3 linked regions of the Arabidopsis thaliana genome follow. The protein of the gene in region 3 interacts with the protein of the main gene of each other region in a pairwise test. Each region holds a gene or a part of one and is shown on either strand. Other genes may lie near its edges.

Region 1 (5,615 bases), on a different chromosome or scaffold from region 3:
AGTAAAGGCGTGGACTTGAGTGCTTTTAAATCTCTCAAAGAGTTTGAGATTGCGCATTTTGCTATATCACAGAAATCTGAGAAAAGGGTTTGATTTTGAAGTAAAGAGAGAGTGAGGGAGACGGAGAGAGCAAGAGAGAGAGAGAGAGAGAGAGAGAGAGAGAGAGAGAGAGAGAGAGAGAGTTGAAAACACAAGCTCTGTCTCCGGTGACAACACACAGTGCAGAGACAAAAAGGAGAGAGAGAGAGAGAGGAAGAAGAAGACGATGAAGTGTGATTGAGAATATAAATTATTTTTATAAAAAGGTCAATAATTTGGGGAGAAAAAAGAGTAATGGCGTCGATTTTTGCAAACCCAAAAAACATTTATATGGAAAAAAAATGGTCGAATCTCATATCTGTTTTTCTTTCTTTTATGCATTTTTTTGTGGAACAGTTTACGAACTTCAACAGTTGGTGGTTCTTATTGGGTGCGATACGAACCAGACCACTTTCCTTTCTCTTTCCTTTTTGTGTAAAGACCACTTTCCTTTTTTAAAACAATATTTTGTTTCTGTTTTTTTGGTGAGGAAATATTTTGTTTCTTTGTTAAATTGTTATTTTTTTCCATATTTGAAGATATTGGTATGGCTTTTAATTTGTGAAAATTTGGGTTTATTACAGAGTTATATGATGATTAAATATAGTTTAGAGAATTATAGATGGTTGGTTCGTTTCGGGTATAATTAAAATAAGCCTCTCTGACTATCCAACGTCATTGATTCATGTGATGCCAAGATAGGTAGGTTAACTAGTTATGTGGTTTCTTATCGGTTATCTCCTATCTAAACAATTGAGCTTAACATTAAACTTTGAAGATATTAACTTATCTCTCTAATGAACGAAAAAAATTCAGTTTTATTGGTTGATTGGTTATGATTTCAATGACTAACAAAGAAATGGTCTTTAATTTATGTACAGCATGAATTTACTCAATTTATTACATACAACATGATTTCAAAAAATTGCTTAAAATTTTGCAAAACATTTCTTTACTGTGATCACACTAATCATTTGTTAATCTGGTGTCTACTTTTTTACTCGCTAACGTGAGCGTGTATATTTATATTTTCTGAGATCTTCATAGTTTTAGGTTTTTAGCTTGTAGTTAGTTTTTTTTGTTCTCGATATTGGACCAACAACTATCAGGAAACGCATAATTTATTATATATATAAAAAACTCTCATAAAACGTACTGTATTAAAACAATAACAAATAAAAAGTGGAGAGAACTATATCCAGAACCAATTCTGATGTTCTTTTGCCCGCACACCTGGAAAACACATGCAAGTGTACTCTTTAAAGATAAACATATATACCATTTGCGAAATAATTGAGGATTTTTTTTCTTTTGCCAACAGATAAATAATATAAGATTGTTTCAGAAAAAAAATAAAGATGGATAATTGAGGATTAGGTTGGCATTATTTGATGCAAAAAATACTAAAGAAAATCTCACATTGAAATCAATTAAAATAATTTTCTTATGGTATATACAAGTTGATGCAAAATTGATAAAAGATTAAACAAGGCAAGAGACGTGTGGTCATGTGTCTCGGCAACCCATGTGAGGGAATCTGAATCACTTTTTTTTTTTTTTTTTTTATGTTTCTCGAATCTGAGTAGCACAATAATTGAATTGTGTTTCGTAACTAAATTAGGGATTTATTAATCATGAAAAATTATTTGATGAAATCAAATTGTGGTCCGTCTAGTTGACTTATACCAGCCCAAATTATTTAGCGAATATAAAGCCCAAACTAGGCCCACAATAACAAATTATGCGTTTCCTCAAACGAACACCACCATGTCATGAACCATTCTAGCCGAATCCAAATAGAACGAAACTAAAATTGCTTTAATCCATATGTGACCAGATAAAGTAAAACACTCCTTTTGGGGAAATAAATATCCACTTTTCACCATCTTTTTGGTAAACAATAAAACAAACCAAATTTTGTGTGCTTGAGCAACAACAACTACCAACCAGTTACTGTCAAAAAAAATAAATGAAAACGTAATCGAAGAAAAGGTCGTGTTTTCTAGTGTTGCAGAAAATGGCAACTACTAGTACTACTACAAAGCTCTCCGTTCTCTGCTGCTCTTTCATTTCATCTCCTCTCGTTGACTCTCCTCCTTCTCTCGCCTTCTTCTCTCCGATTCCACGATTCCTCACTGTCCGAATCGCGACTAGCTTTAGATCGAGCTCTAGGTTTCCGGCCACCAAAATCCGCAAGTCTTCACTCGCCGCCGTGATGTTTCCGGAAAATTCGGTTTTATCAGATGTCTGCGCGTTTGGAGTCACTAGCATCGTTGCGTTCTCGTGCCTCGGTTTCTGGGGAGAGATTGGCAAACGTGGCATCTTCGACCAGGTTTTCGATCATTCAATTCACTTAATTAAATTATACACGCGTCGATTTGTTGAATAACGTTTTTGGAATGTTGCTCGATTCTGCAATTTCTGGTTAAAGCAACTTTGGATTCAGAGTAATGGTAGTAGTAAGCTTTATCGAGTAATGGATGGCATTAATGGCGAGGATAATAAATCTTATTAGTTCAAGAAATTATAGAATGTGAATGGATACCTATTTTGGGGTGGAAGAACACTGCGATAAACAATGGGAAAGTAACCCCATATCTGGTAAATTAGTGGGAAAATTGCTCAGAACCCAATTTGGGGATGAAATTTTTTTGAAATTCGTGCGGTATAATCACAATCTCATCGTAACTTGAAGATTCAACCATATTTATGATATATATGAATTTTGTAGGTTTAAATGTTGCACAATTTCTTTGCTATACTTTGAAGGATTATTTCTTCGTATGAGTCAGTCTATACACATATTGGACATGGCTTGTTTTTTTTTCCTTTCTCTTATGTGTTTCTCCGCAGTGACTTGTTTTTCTTCAAGTAATTTGGTTAGGAGTAGAGGAATTATCTATGATTAGCAAAAATTCTATTAAACATTTTTGGTTTGGGAATACCTGTATGGCTTCAGCTACTTGATTTTGTTTCTCTGACCTTATCGTGATTAAGATATCATCTCAGAACCCATTGAATTTATAAGATCCACAGGCTGTCTGATGTAGGACTGACTCCACTTTCATGGTTTTATTGAATGAGGCATTGGTTTAACATCTGTGGTTGACATTGGTGTTATTTCTTATTTTTCAGAAACTCATCCGGAAGCTTGTGCATATAAATATTGGGCTAGTTTTTATGCTTTGCTGGCCGCTGTTCAGGTAATAATACGGAGTGAAAGGATCGATTTTGATGTACCAGCTTGCTTTTCTGCTTCACCAGTTTATTTCGATATCAATTGTTTCAGTTCTGGAATCCAAGGAGCACTTTTCGCATCTCTTGTACCTGGACTCAATATAGTAAGGATGCTATTGCTGGGGCTTGGAGTGTACCACGACGAAGGAACAATCAAGTCAATGAGCAGACATGGAGATCGCAGGTAGCTGAATCGAACAAGTGTCTGTCACAATATCCAACAATCTCTTAGCATTCTTGGTATCTATGATCAAAATTCGGTTTGTCTGTTTATTATTGCTTTTGTCACTTCACAAAGTGTCTGTAGTCGCTCTCTGCATCAGGGAACTACTTAAGGGGCCGCTTTACTATGTACTGTCAATCACATCAGCCTGCATCTACTATTGGAAATCATCCCCAATCGCGATTGCGGTGATATGCAACCTTTGCGCAGGAGATGGTAAGTACAGTTAGCTCTGGTTTGATCCAATAACATTAGCAACTTTTGTCTTAGGAATTTGAATCCATTGAATGATGATTCTAATACACACACTTGCTGTTAAAAGGTATGGCTGACATTGTGGGTCGGCGGTTTGGAACAGAGAAGCTTCCTTACAACAAAAACAAATCATTTGCTGGTAGCATTGGAATGGCCACCGCCGGGTTTCTAGCATCTGTTGCGTATATGTACTACTTTGCTTCATTTGGTTACATCGAGGATAGCGGGGGAATGATTCTTCGTTTCCTCGTCATCTCTATAGCATCAGCTCTTGTGGAATCACTCCCAATAAGCACCGACATTGACGACAATCTCACCATTTCCTTAACCTCTGCCTTGGCCGGATTCTTACTCTTCTAATAATACCCTCTCGTTGTTATGTATCATCAAATAAAGGGTCGAGCTTGATTGCTGATATGGAGGTAAAACTGCATTCATTGTTCCCATCTTCTTCTGTATGTACGTATTAGTGAAACATCTCATATTGTTGTTGTCCACAAATCTTATTTTTCAGCTGCAATTGCAGTTGGGTACAATGTTGTAATGTTCTATCCATTAGTGAGACATATGATGACGAACAGTGACGCTTCTACAATTTGTAACAGATACTCTTTTGTAACAGATATTCAATACATGTTTGTTTGTTATTTGGCCTATGGCTATGTGGAAATGGATTGTTTGCTTACAACAGGTGAGGGCTTGAGTGTCCCGCTCCAGGAAGCCTCTTCTGACAGGTCGGACTGGTGACTGTAACGGCGTTTCAGACAAGGAAGCAACACGAGGAACAAGAGGAAGACGGCGAAGCTGATGACAAGAACTACCGTCAAGATCTCACCATGCATGGCGTAGTGTCTGTCTCTAGTGAAAGTAAGTCGTTCGCCATCTTCAGGACTCGAGGCCTCCACCGTAGAAGTTACCATTAGAGAGGTAATCTCAAATATTCTCAAATCTCAACTCCTTTGCTCATACCTACTTCATACTGTCATGCATCATCTTGGAGGGATTTGTGTCTGTTTCTTTTTCCTCTCTGAAATATAAATTTGACTTGGGAGAATATGTATCAAATGAAAACAATATGTCACCACAGAAGAAAAGAAGAGTTTAAATATATTTCTTTGGGATAATTTAGTAGATGGATTTTTGTATAAAGGTTGGTGTAGAAAGTGAGACTGGGACGTTCGTTAGTGATTGCTCTCTACATATGGGGCGTTGGATTGGGTCTTTTTGGATCTTACGTGCGACGTCGTTTTCGTAATTTGAAGAAAATCCTTTTCGTGTGGCTCCCATAACCGACTCCGTGACTTTCCCGGAAATTTCCTCAAGAGAGAAGCGACCTTGTGTCTCATGTTAGTTGCTTCTTCTTCTGCCCTTATTTATATGAATACAAAAATTAATTACTCTTTGATTTGGCCCATTTAAAATTGCTAACTTCTTCACGCATTCTCGAAATAGAAGAAAACGTGGTATGCTTGTATTAATTGAATGGTTCTGAAAGAGACATTTTCAGAAGAAACAAAAAAGCAATTGTGCCAAACTAGAAGAAGAAGCTATAATCGAGGTGTGCTCTACTGAGATTTTGCATGGGTGCTGCAAAAAAAAAAAAGAGATTTGAATGGGCCATGAGATGGGCTTTTAATAAAAAAATCATAACAGAAATTAGATGACGTGGAGTGTCGTTTTCTTTCTATTCGAGGTGACGGTGAGAAGGAAAACCGTGTCGTTTATATGATTAAGTAAAGAAACGCTTGCCGTTTAATATTTTAGCTTGGCCTGGGTGCCGTGGCAAGTCATGATTGGTGGTTTCTTCGCCGATGTAAAATTC
Region 2 (5,852 bases), on a different chromosome or scaffold from region 3:
CCGTTGAGTGTTGAAGACAGAGTTCAATTCCCTGACCATTTATTGCTGATTCTTTCGCACGGAATTGGGAAAGGTGAAAAAAACCTAGTTTGTGTTTATCGTGGAGTAAAGGAAGAGACTTTGGTGTTGCCCTCGATTTCTAGTGATGAATTCGATGAGTTTAGGTCGATTGTTCGATGTCCTAATGCTCCTTTGAACTATTCTTCATCTGTTGATTTGCAATTCCGTGGAGATTTGGTGAAGAAGAAGATGAAGAAACAGAGCCGTCGTGTTCATAATTGGGAAAAGGTTGGTTATGAGGCGGTGATTGACGGCGACACGGTGGTTGTGTTTGTTAAAGGATTGACTCGAAGACCTCACAAGGAATCAGATCCTTCTTACTATAAGTGTCAATTTGAGATTGAGAATTCGGAGGAGAAAGAGGTGACTCAAGCTATTGCTGCTGCGCAAGAAGTTGTGAGGTGTGGTTTGCCTGAGAGTTTGAAGCTAAATCCAGAGATGATGTTTCGAGTGAGTGTAATTCACATTGATCCTAGAGGAAGAACTACCCCTGCTCTGCCTTCGGTTGCGAGAATCTACGGTTCTGATTCGATTGAGAAGAAGGAGAAGAAGAGTGGAGTTAAGCATGAGCTTTGTGTTTGTACAATGTTATGGAACCAAGCTCCGTTCTTGCGTGAATGGATCATGTATCACTCGTGGCTCGGTGTCGAACGTTGGTTTATATATGATAACAACAGCGATGATGGTATACAAGAGGAGATTGAGTTGCTTAGTTCGGAGAATTACAATGTGAGTCGACATGTTTGGCCTTGGATCAAGACTCAAGAAGCCGGTTTTTCGCATTGTGCGGTTAGAGCGAAAGAAGAATGCAATTGGGTTGGATTCTTCGATGTCGACGAGTTCTACTACTTCCCTACGCATCGCTCTCAAGGCTTACCGAGCAAAAACGCTTTGAAGTCGCTTGTATCGAACTACACTTCTTGGGATTTGGTTGGAGAGATCAGAACGGACTGTCATAGCTACGGTCCATCCGGTCTGACCTCGGTTCCATCACAAGGCGTGACCGTAGGTTACACTTGTAGACAAGCGAACCCCGAGAGACACAAGTCGATAATCCGCCCTGAGTTGCTCACAAGCTCATTGCTCAATGAAGTACATCATTTTCAGTTGAAAGAAGGAGTGGGGCATATGAGTTTGGTGGAGAGTGTTGCGGTAGTGAACCATTACAAGTACCAAGTTTGGGACACTTTCAAAGCTAAGTTTTACAGAAGAGTGGCTACTTATGTTGTTGACTGGCAAGAGAATCAGAATCAAGGGTCTAAAGATCGAGCTCCAGGGCTCGGGACAGAGGCAATCGAGCCGCCGGATTGGAAACGACGGTTCTGTGAAGTGTGGGACACTGGATTGAAGGATTTGGTTATGTCGAATTTTGCTGATCAAGTGACTGGTTATCTGCCGTGGCAGAGGCAACAACAAGAATGACTTTTAGTTGGTTTCTGATTCAGCAGCAGGTGTACATTTTATTTACATTTGACAAGGATACATACAAAATCTACATCAATATTTCTTTCTTTTGTTACTTACATTTTTTTTTTGGTTTTGTTGATTGGTGGGGGATAAAGTTGGCTTATAATATCTTTTGTTTCTTAGAGTTTACCACATGTAAATTTCGGTAACACTGCTAAATCCCTTTTTTTTTGTTTTTCTTTCTTGTTCTTATATGAATGGAAGTGAAAGATTTCAAGAACGAAATTTGTAGTAGTAGTACTTAGGTTTCGAGTTAGAATCTCAGATGAAATGTTTAAATATTACAAACGGTTGGTCTCGAGGCAATGAAGATTATGGGCCTAAAGTCATGAAACCCATGAGCTGAAATGTAAGTTAATGCTGTGAAAGCCCATGGGCCAAAACACATTTTTGTTCAAGTAATGTCTTTTTTTGTTTCCTCAGTTCTAGTAATAATGTCTTCTGTTTTAAAAAAATAAAATATTTTTGTCTTTTTCTTTATAACAAGTTCAAAACTCTTGTGACTTATTATTATTAGTTTATTACCAGCCAACCAACCTTTCATACAAAAAGAATCCCATTTAAGTCACATTATATCAATATCAATAGAGGAAGAATTTAATTTTGATTAAATTGATACGTTAGAGTTAAAGAATCATGGTTCTAAAATTCCATGTCTGATTTTAGGCAAACCTATCAATACAAGAAATGAAAAAAAAATCTTCACCCAAAAGTGTTATCCTTTTTGAAAAATTAGCTTTCCCTTTCAATTGTAACATGTAGTAGTAGACTAGACTGACTTGTATATATCCTCTGCTTCTCTCAGACTTGCTTTTCCAACGGTGTCGTTTTGTAAGAAGATTCTTTTTCCCCAAACAAAAGATAAATACTAATTTCCACTAAGTTACTAAAAAAAAAAAAGAGTCAAAAGAGCAACAAAAAAAAAAAGTTTCTCATCTTTTCTCAACAGTATCACACAGTCAATGACCATTCTTCTTCCGCCATAGAAGCTCTCTCTGCTTTTTAACCTAAGAAGAAGAACTAGATCCATCCTTAATCATGAAGAAGATCTTCATCACACTCTTATGGCTTCTCTTCATAAGCTCGTTTCTCTGTTCTTCTTCTTCAGCTGAAGACGACGTTCTCTGTCTCCAAGGTTTGAAAAACTCACTCATCGATCCTTCTTCTAGACTCAGTTCCTGGTCTTTCCCAAACTCTTCAGCTTCTTCGATTTGTAAGCTCACTGGTGTTTCCTGCTGGAACGAGAAAGAGAATCGGATTATTTCTCTTCAGCTTCAATCGATGCAGCTCGCCGGTGAGATTCCTGAGTCTCTTAAGCTTTGTCGTAGTTTACAATCTCTGGATCTCTCTGGAAACGATCTCTCTGGTTCGATTCCTTCTCAAATCTGTTCGTGGCTTCCTTATCTCGTTACGTTAGATCTGTCTGGGAATAAGCTTGGTGGTTCGATTCCGACTCAGATCGTTGAGTGTAAGTTCTTAAACGCTTTGATTCTGAGTGATAATAAGCTTTCTGGTTCGATTCCTTCTCAGTTGAGTCGATTAGATCGCCTTCGACGTCTTTCTCTAGCAGGGAATGATCTCTCCGGTACGATTCCGTCCGAGCTGGCTCGGTTCGGAGGAGACGATTTTAGCGGGAATAACGGACTTTGTGGGAAGCCTTTATCGCGATGTGGAGCGTTGAATGGGAGAAATCTGAGTATTATTATAGTTGCTGGAGTTCTTGGAGCTGTTGGATCTTTGTGCGTTGGTTTAGTTATATTCTGGTGGTTCTTTATTAGAGAAGGTAGTAGGAAGAAGAAAGGTTATGGTGCTGGGAAGTCTAAGGATGATAGTGATTGGATTGGTTTGTTGAGGTCACATAAGCTTGTTCAGGTGACTTTGTTTCAGAAACCTATTGTGAAGATTAAATTGGGTGATTTAATGGCTGCTACGAACAATTTTAGTTCAGGGAATATCGATGTTTCGTCGAGGACTGGGGTTTCGTATAAAGCGGATTTACCTGATGGGTCTGCACTTGCGGTGAAGAGGCTTAGTGCTTGTGGGTTTGGTGAGAAACAGTTTAGGTCGGAGATGAATAAGTTAGGAGAGCTTAGACATCCGAATTTGGTGCCGCTTTTAGGGTATTGTGTTGTGGAAGATGAGAGACTGTTGGTGTATAAGCATATGGTTAATGGTACGTTGTTTTCTCAGTTGCACAATGGTGGATTGTGTGATGCTGTTTTGGATTGGCCGACTCGGCGTGCGATTGGTGTGGGAGCTGCTAAAGGGTTAGCTTGGTTGCATCATGGATGCCAACCGCCGTATTTGCATCAGTTTATTAGCTCCAATGTTATACTTCTTGATGATGATTTTGATGCTCGGATAACAGATTACGGATTGGCAAAGCTAGTTGGATCTCGTGATTCGAACGATAGCTCGTTCAATAATGGGGATTTGGGGGAGTTAGGTTATGTAGCGCCTGAGTATTCGAGCACCATGGTTGCGTCTTTGAAAGGAGATGTGTATGGGTTTGGGATTGTGCTTCTTGAATTGGTTACAGGGCAAAAGCCTTTGTCTGTTATTAACGGTGTGGAAGGGTTTAAAGGGAGTTTAGTTGACTGGGTGAGTCAGTATTTGGGTACTGGTAGAAGCAAAGACGCTATTGATAGAAGCATATGTGATAAAGGACACGATGAGGAGATATTGCAGTTCCTGAAAATCGCATGTAGCTGTGTTGTGTCCAGGCCTAAGGAAAGGCCAACGATGATTCAGGTGTATGAATCTTTGAAGAACATGGCAGATAAACACGGTGTTTCGGAGCATTACGATGAATTTCCTCTGGTCTTCAACAAACAAGAAGCTTGAGTATCTTTACCAGAAAGTAGTCTTTTTTGGCAGCTTAAGCGCTAAGAAGGTATGAGAAATCTACTTTTGTATCAGAAGCTTTTTTTTTTTTACTTTATATCTCATTCTTTGTTCCTTCCCTCAGTGTTGTTAGTTTTTAACCGTGTCAGTGCTCGTGTTTGTCTTGTATCTCCTACCGTATAATTCTGTACATTCGTTTGGGTCATTAATGTACTCTTTGGAATGTAACCTCTTCTGATGAAATGAGAAGATTTCAGTCTTATTTCAAGCTCTCCTATAGTTTGGCATTTGGTTTAATTTCTTAGGTTCGTAACGGCTCTATGCCTTGGAGTTGAATCATTTGAAGAATGTTTATTTGTCTGTTGATTTTATCTTTTGAAGTAATGTCTTTGATAGTCAAAAAGGTCAATGCGTAATTTGGTGTGTTGTGATATCTTTTGGATGAGATGTGGGGTTTGGTCTTATAATAAAGACAATAGAGTTAAAAGAAACCGATATGTTGGAGGCAGATGTAGAGATGTCTGCGTCTCGCTTGGCCATAGACACATGAACTTCGACCCCACTTCTCAATAATGCTTGCTATCGTCTTGTCAACATTTCCTTTCACAATTTGTTACTTTCTTCTTTGTTACTACTGTTACAAGTTGTGAAAGTCATTTTTTGTATCGAGTGACTTAAATGTCAATTCAGCATACACTTATTGTATCGAGCAGGACACTTGGACTCTCGGTTTTATGTAAAGCTTCATCTGCTACAATGGAAACAGTAAATATATGAAAACTTGTTGGAGAATGAGAAATAGAACAAACACACTTTAGGTCTTTAGCAGATAAAATACCTTGATCATAGAAGTCTTTGGATTTGTTAACCAAGTCTTCACAAATTTTGTGAACATTCTACAAAATTGCACAGAATTGTGGGAAACAAGAGTCTCCTCTTTTTGGGTTTTTATTGATTATAGAAGCAACGGTATAAACTGTAAAAAAACAACTAAACATCCTAGAAAGAAAAAACTTACAGAAGCACACACGCTATATGATCAACAAACAGCTTGTATGGAAAGAATGTTTTTGTGCAGTTTCTTAACTTCTCTGTGGTAGCAGATCATGCAACAGTGGAATCACCTTTTGCGCTGGCTTCACCTTCTTCAAACGAGCTGAAAAAATTGGCAAGTTTCTGAGAAACGGTTTGTTGAGCCTCGGGTAATGTATTTTCTCTGCCTTCCAAATCATCATCCCCCTCGTAAACGAGATGAATGCCATGCATCTTTAGCTCAACGCCTTGTTTGATTGGTGGGTTTCGTTTGATCACCTGTATGGTGTACCCGTCTTTCAACATCGTAACCAGTGGGTGAAAAGCTGAGTATCGGCAGATGTGAAGCTGATCGTTATTTGTTCTAGGCACTCCGGAGAGATGCAATGTGTTGGTGCATTTGTGATGATCAAGTTTATGAATTTGGGCTTGAACCTCCATCACATCAG
Region 3 (4,661 bases):
GGCCATTATCAGTGTTGAAATTGGTAAAGACAAACTTAGTGGTTGCTCTTTCCGTAGAAACCAAAGGAATCAGAATCATGAGCACCAAAACCCCTGAATATAAGAGATGCTTGATTGATGATTGTTGTTGAGACATGACATGAAACACAGAGACAAAAGAGAGATTGGGTACCGAGGAGATTCCAAAGAGCAGCAAGCTGTCCAATGAAAGACAAGACGGAGATGGGGAGGCTGTTGAGAAGAGCGTGGATGAAGAGGATCCCACCATGGATACCAATCACAACAAAGTCTGATCCTTTATAACCGCCGCCGTTTCTACCGCCGGTGGAGAGAAGGACGATCACCTGAATCAACTGTGCCAGAGAGAAGTCAACGCTGGCCGTCACTGCCCACTGCAAACACACCACAACCTTACTTTTAGCCCCAATGAGAGATATATCTAATGAAAACAAGTCTGCTTGAATGAATGTTGCACCTGACCAACGATGTTGAACCTGAAAAAAGATTTGTGAAAATGAGTCAGAGAGAGACGCTCTCTTGCTTCCAATTCCAAATTAAGAAAAAGGTGAGAGAAGGGAGTACCAGCCAGTCATCCAAGAGGCAAGAGGAGCCCAACGAGGGCCAGCGAGCATAGCACTCCAGTAGTAGAGACCACCGGAGGTAGGGTAAGAGGAGCAGATCTCGGCCATAGATAACCCAACGCACATTGTGAAGGAGCCGGCCAGGAACCATCCGTAGACCAGAGTGACAGTGCCGCCGAATCTTAAGCCGGTGTTGTAGGTGGTGGTGATACCAGTGAGCACCGATATGATGGAGAAGGAGATGGCGAAATTGGAGAAGACCCTGAAATCTAACAATTGTTTAGCTAACACAAATCAAAGAAGAAAAAGGAAAGAGTGGCGGAGACAGACGAGAGATCGCGCTTGAGCTCTTGCTTGTAGCCGAGCTCCTTGAGGCGGACTTGGCCGGAATCCATGACGGGAACAAAGGATTGATCGCCGCCCAATCCCATAGTCTTCCTGGCCTGAGAGTCCAAAGCTTTGGTTGTTGAGAGCTCTCTCTCTGATTCAGACAAGATATTTATTTTTCTGTTATATTACTTTTTACATACCCCTCCAAACTGTCTTTTTATTATTATTTATTCTTTAAACTAAATAAATATGTAATTCAAGTAATATAAAAAAACTAATAAGCAACCCCAATGGTTAAGATCCTTAAGGAATCCTTAAGAATTTTCTAATATAAATTTTGACAAATATAAAGCTAAGGACTAGCTTAGGGACTCTCAAAAATATTCATGTCCAATAGTAGGAATTCTTAAGAAAGACAAATTTGAAAAAATATTTTGGTATTTGAGTTTAGATTGCTTGAAAAGAAAGATAGAGAAGACAAACTATACAAAAAATTTGATACATTTTTGATAAACACATTTTGAATAACAAAGATTCATGACAATAAATATGACAAAGTATACAAGATTCATTTGAAAACATATCAAAGACAAAAACTATACAAAAAAACATCATCCTCTTCTTGAAGATACTCAGAACATGGCCTACTCTTTGATACACAAACCTGGTTAATTTGCCACTGATGAGGATGACTGTGTAGAATGTTCAAATCATAAAATAGACAACTTTGTGGTTATGTTACCACGATCCACAAAATCATGTTAGTCTCGAGACTAACAATCAAAGATTTGCTATCCAAAACAAACTAAAAAAGATTTGATGCAATATTGAGAGGAAAAACTGAACCTGGTTTCTCTGATTTGAATTCCATTTTATCAGACTCTCATCCGTGCAACAGAATTTATAACACATTAACTAACTCTTGTTAACCACTCGTAATGCTAAAACATTATATAACCACAATCTTTGAACTCTCCTTCTTCATAACATTAGAGAGACAGAGAAGATTAAAGACTTGACACAAAAGTGTTTCAGAAGAAAGAAACAAACAAACCGAAGCCAAAAATCCTCTAACATGAGACACACAAAACAAATCTAGTGATGTTGTTCAACATTACATAACACATCTAAAAATACACTAATTTCGTAGACCACAAACATAAATCATATATGCTCATTGATTAAGAACAATAAATCATTATCTGAAGCCTTATGCAGAAGCAAGATATTTACCTTCTTTGAAAAAGGGGACCAACAAACCAAACAGCAGATGGATGATCAACGACATAATGAACCAAGTTATCACCGGCTGGTCTAGCAAGGGCTGCACAAGTAGCCAAAGAACCAAGAAACCCAAGTGCCCATAAAGCTTGAAGAGTCCTCTTAACCTCCATAACATATATACGAATTAGAAACAGAGATAGCCCCAAACCACTAGCACCAACAAAGTAAAACAAATCATGGTTCTGCTTGATTAGTTCACTTAATCAATGATGACAATCAAACATTAGCATCATCATTGGTCTCTTGTGTTCCCATACATACAACATCCGCTATAATTTCAGAGACACATCCAATTCAGAAATATAACCTTTGTTCTGATTATGATACATCAATCATCAATCGGAAGAAATCGATTGAACCTTCTCAGGGAGAGACAGCGCACGACTCTATGAGTAATATACAAAAGAAACGATTGAGAAGATTTACCTGGCGACACTGAGAAGAGACGATGAGGGAGGTATGTGACTATACAAGCTTTCGACAACTGCCGATGGTTACATGCGCTGCTGCTCCGATTACCTACCATCACCACTTACGAAACTTGGATTGATTCAATCGAACAAAGACCAGTGAGATCAGAAGCTAAGACCATCCCCATTGGTTAGGTCCTTAACCATGATCCTTAACTTTTTTTTTTTTATTAAAATTTTGCTTTTTGTAAGTTAAGAAACTAATAAGAGTCTTTAACAAATTTCTACTCCAATGGTTAAGAAACAATGGGTCCTTGAGTAAACAAAAATCAAATTTTTGCAAAATAATGTCTTCCAATACAAGCATGAAATTCATAATAACAAAGAGAAGAGATGAAATTTGAATTGCTAGTATCATCATTTGCTCAATAAAACACAATATAACAATACGCTAGCATGACAAAAACACAGTTTTCAGTTCTGTTCCAATATTTTCAGAAACAGAGAACCATTTTAATATCTTGAGTGCACAAAAGAAACGGTTTCCAGTTGTGCTTCAATATTTTCAGAACTGATTTAATACCTGCAGCATAGTTGGCAGCGCATGTGCGTAAGCACAAGTGTCAAACTTTGTTCTACACTAAAATAATAGCTACCCAGAAATTAAAAGAAGAAGAAGAATGAGAGAAACGAAGGGAGAAATAGAGAGAAAGAGAGATTACGCATGTGGAGAGCTCGAGTAATTTAGTGTTGTGGATGATTGAACCAGCTATGGCTATGCTAACAATGGCTTTGCCATCTTCAACCATCAGATTATAAGAGAAAATGTTAACCCAAGAATGATTACGAATTAAGAAATAACTGATTTCAGTTTAGATCACAAACATGTAAATACCGTGTTCACTAGAGCCGTATTAGTCTATTGGACGAGATTATTCGAGCGACCCAAGCCTCTCGGACACCAGAAAAACGTCAATTTCATGAAGAGTGGATTTACAAAAATGTAATGGTACAAGTAGAGTTTTGAATACACATACAGTATGTAGCTACACCATTCACAATCTCACGACGACGGCCAAATCAAAATGAAAAACCAAATAATGAATCAAATAATAAGAGAGGAGGATCATCTGGGAGCGGTGGAAGTGCCAGATTCCATGTTTTCGAGAGATGTTGAATCCATCTGCAGAGACATAGCCCTCAAGGCATCTCCGTTTTGGGAGGAGGTCACAGGGACTCCTCGTTCTTGAGCTGCCTTGAAATAGGCGTAGGGACCCCATCCTTCTTCGTGGTAAGGGTTGGGGTAGAACTGACGGTAGCAGAAGGCGGCTACAAGGGTGCCAATGAGAGCTCCTGCGAAGACATCTTGCCAGTGGTGCCAGTAGTCATCCACACGAGATATCCCCACAAGACAAGCGGCAAGCAGAGGGAAGATCACGAGGCAGAGTTTCGCCACATGTCCTTCATTGTTGAAGGCCTTGATTTTGCCAGAGAGGTAAAGGGAAAGGAATGTAAGCCCCGCAAAGGACCAGGAAGTGTGTCCGCTCGGGAAGCTCTTGTGGCCTTCCTTGACCTCAGCTGCCTTGCCGTGGCATACCACACCTCCCAACGCATCATACAGCTCTTTGCCGTCGGGGAAGCAGCGCCAGTAGAAGTTAGGACGAGGGCGTCCGGTGGCTACCTTGATGGAGTCAGTGATGACACCAGTTATCAAGACGGCGAAGAGCAGCCCGAGGATGCTGTGGTGCAGATCGTACACACATGTCCTCTTCAGGTAGAAGCAGACGAACACTATGATGGGAAGAAGCACAGCGTACACAGGGACAGACCAGATAGGTACGGTGTTGTCCTTGAAAGGGTACTTGAGGTCAGTCATCATGTCTTTTCCCACGTAGCGGTAGAAAGGAGAGATGAGGTTCAAGCCTATCTCGATGGCAATCAAGATGACGAGTATGATCCAATCGTGCTTGTGTTTAGAAGCGACTCTTCCTCCATGGGACTTTATAGTGTGAACACTAAGATCTATCTCCTGCATCCTCCCTCTCTGCGCCTCCTG

What was found. The genes of interacting proteins can lie anywhere in the genome.
Region 1: the proteins of AT2G01175 (region 3) and FOLK interact in a protein complementation assay, tested with the Arabidopsis thaliana proteins (one large-scale study listed by BioGRID).
Region 2: the proteins of AT2G01175 (region 3) and AT1G27190 interact in a protein complementation assay, tested with the Arabidopsis thaliana proteins (one large-scale study listed by BioGRID).

The regions. Positions count from the first base shown.
Region 1 is NC_003076.8:23,668,418-23,674,032, forward strand, and holds FOLK (Phosphatidate cytidylyltransferase family protein), read left to right. Parts: upstream 1-1,849; 5' UTR 1,850-2,095; coding exon 2,096-2,410; intron 2,411-3,213; coding exon 3,214-3,281; intron 3,282-3,367; coding exon 3,368-3,499; intron 3,500-3,638; coding exon 3,639-3,754; intron 3,755-3,860; coding exon 3,861-4,153; 3' UTR 4,154-4,452; downstream 4,453-5,615. Other genes in the region: EOL2 (ETO1-like 2), read right to left, coding at 1-57; AT5G58570 (uncharacterized protein), read right to left, coding at 4,453-4,713. UniProt on the Arabidopsis thaliana protein: Kinase involved in negative regulation of abscisic acid (ABA) signaling. Substrate preference is farnesol > geraniol > geranylgeraniol, but has no activity with farnesyl phosphate. Can use CTP > ATP > GTP = UTP as phosphoryl donor.
Region 2 is NC_003070.9:9,445,442-9,451,293, reverse strand, and holds AT1G27190 (Leucine-rich repeat protein kinase family protein), read left to right. Parts: upstream 1-2,247; 5' UTR 2,248-2,565; coding exon 2,566-4,371; 3' UTR 4,372-4,697; downstream 4,698-5,852. Other genes in the region: AT1G27200 (glycosyltransferase family protein (DUF23)), read left to right, coding at 1-1,482; AT1G27180 (disease resistance protein (TIR-NBS-LRR class)), read right to left, coding at 5,476-5,852.
Region 3 is NC_003071.7:103,451-108,111, forward strand, and holds AT2G01175 (uncharacterized protein), read right to left. Parts: upstream 2,842-4,661; 5' UTR 2,622-2,841; intron 2,346-2,621; 5' UTR 2,311-2,345; coding exon 2,122-2,310; 3' UTR 1,434-2,121; downstream 1-1,433. Other genes in the region: BAT1 (bidirectional amino acid transporter 1), read right to left, coding at 1-93, 173-392, 476-494, 583-843, 912-1,012; PAP1 (phosphatidic acid phosphatase 1), read right to left, coding at 3,732-4,661.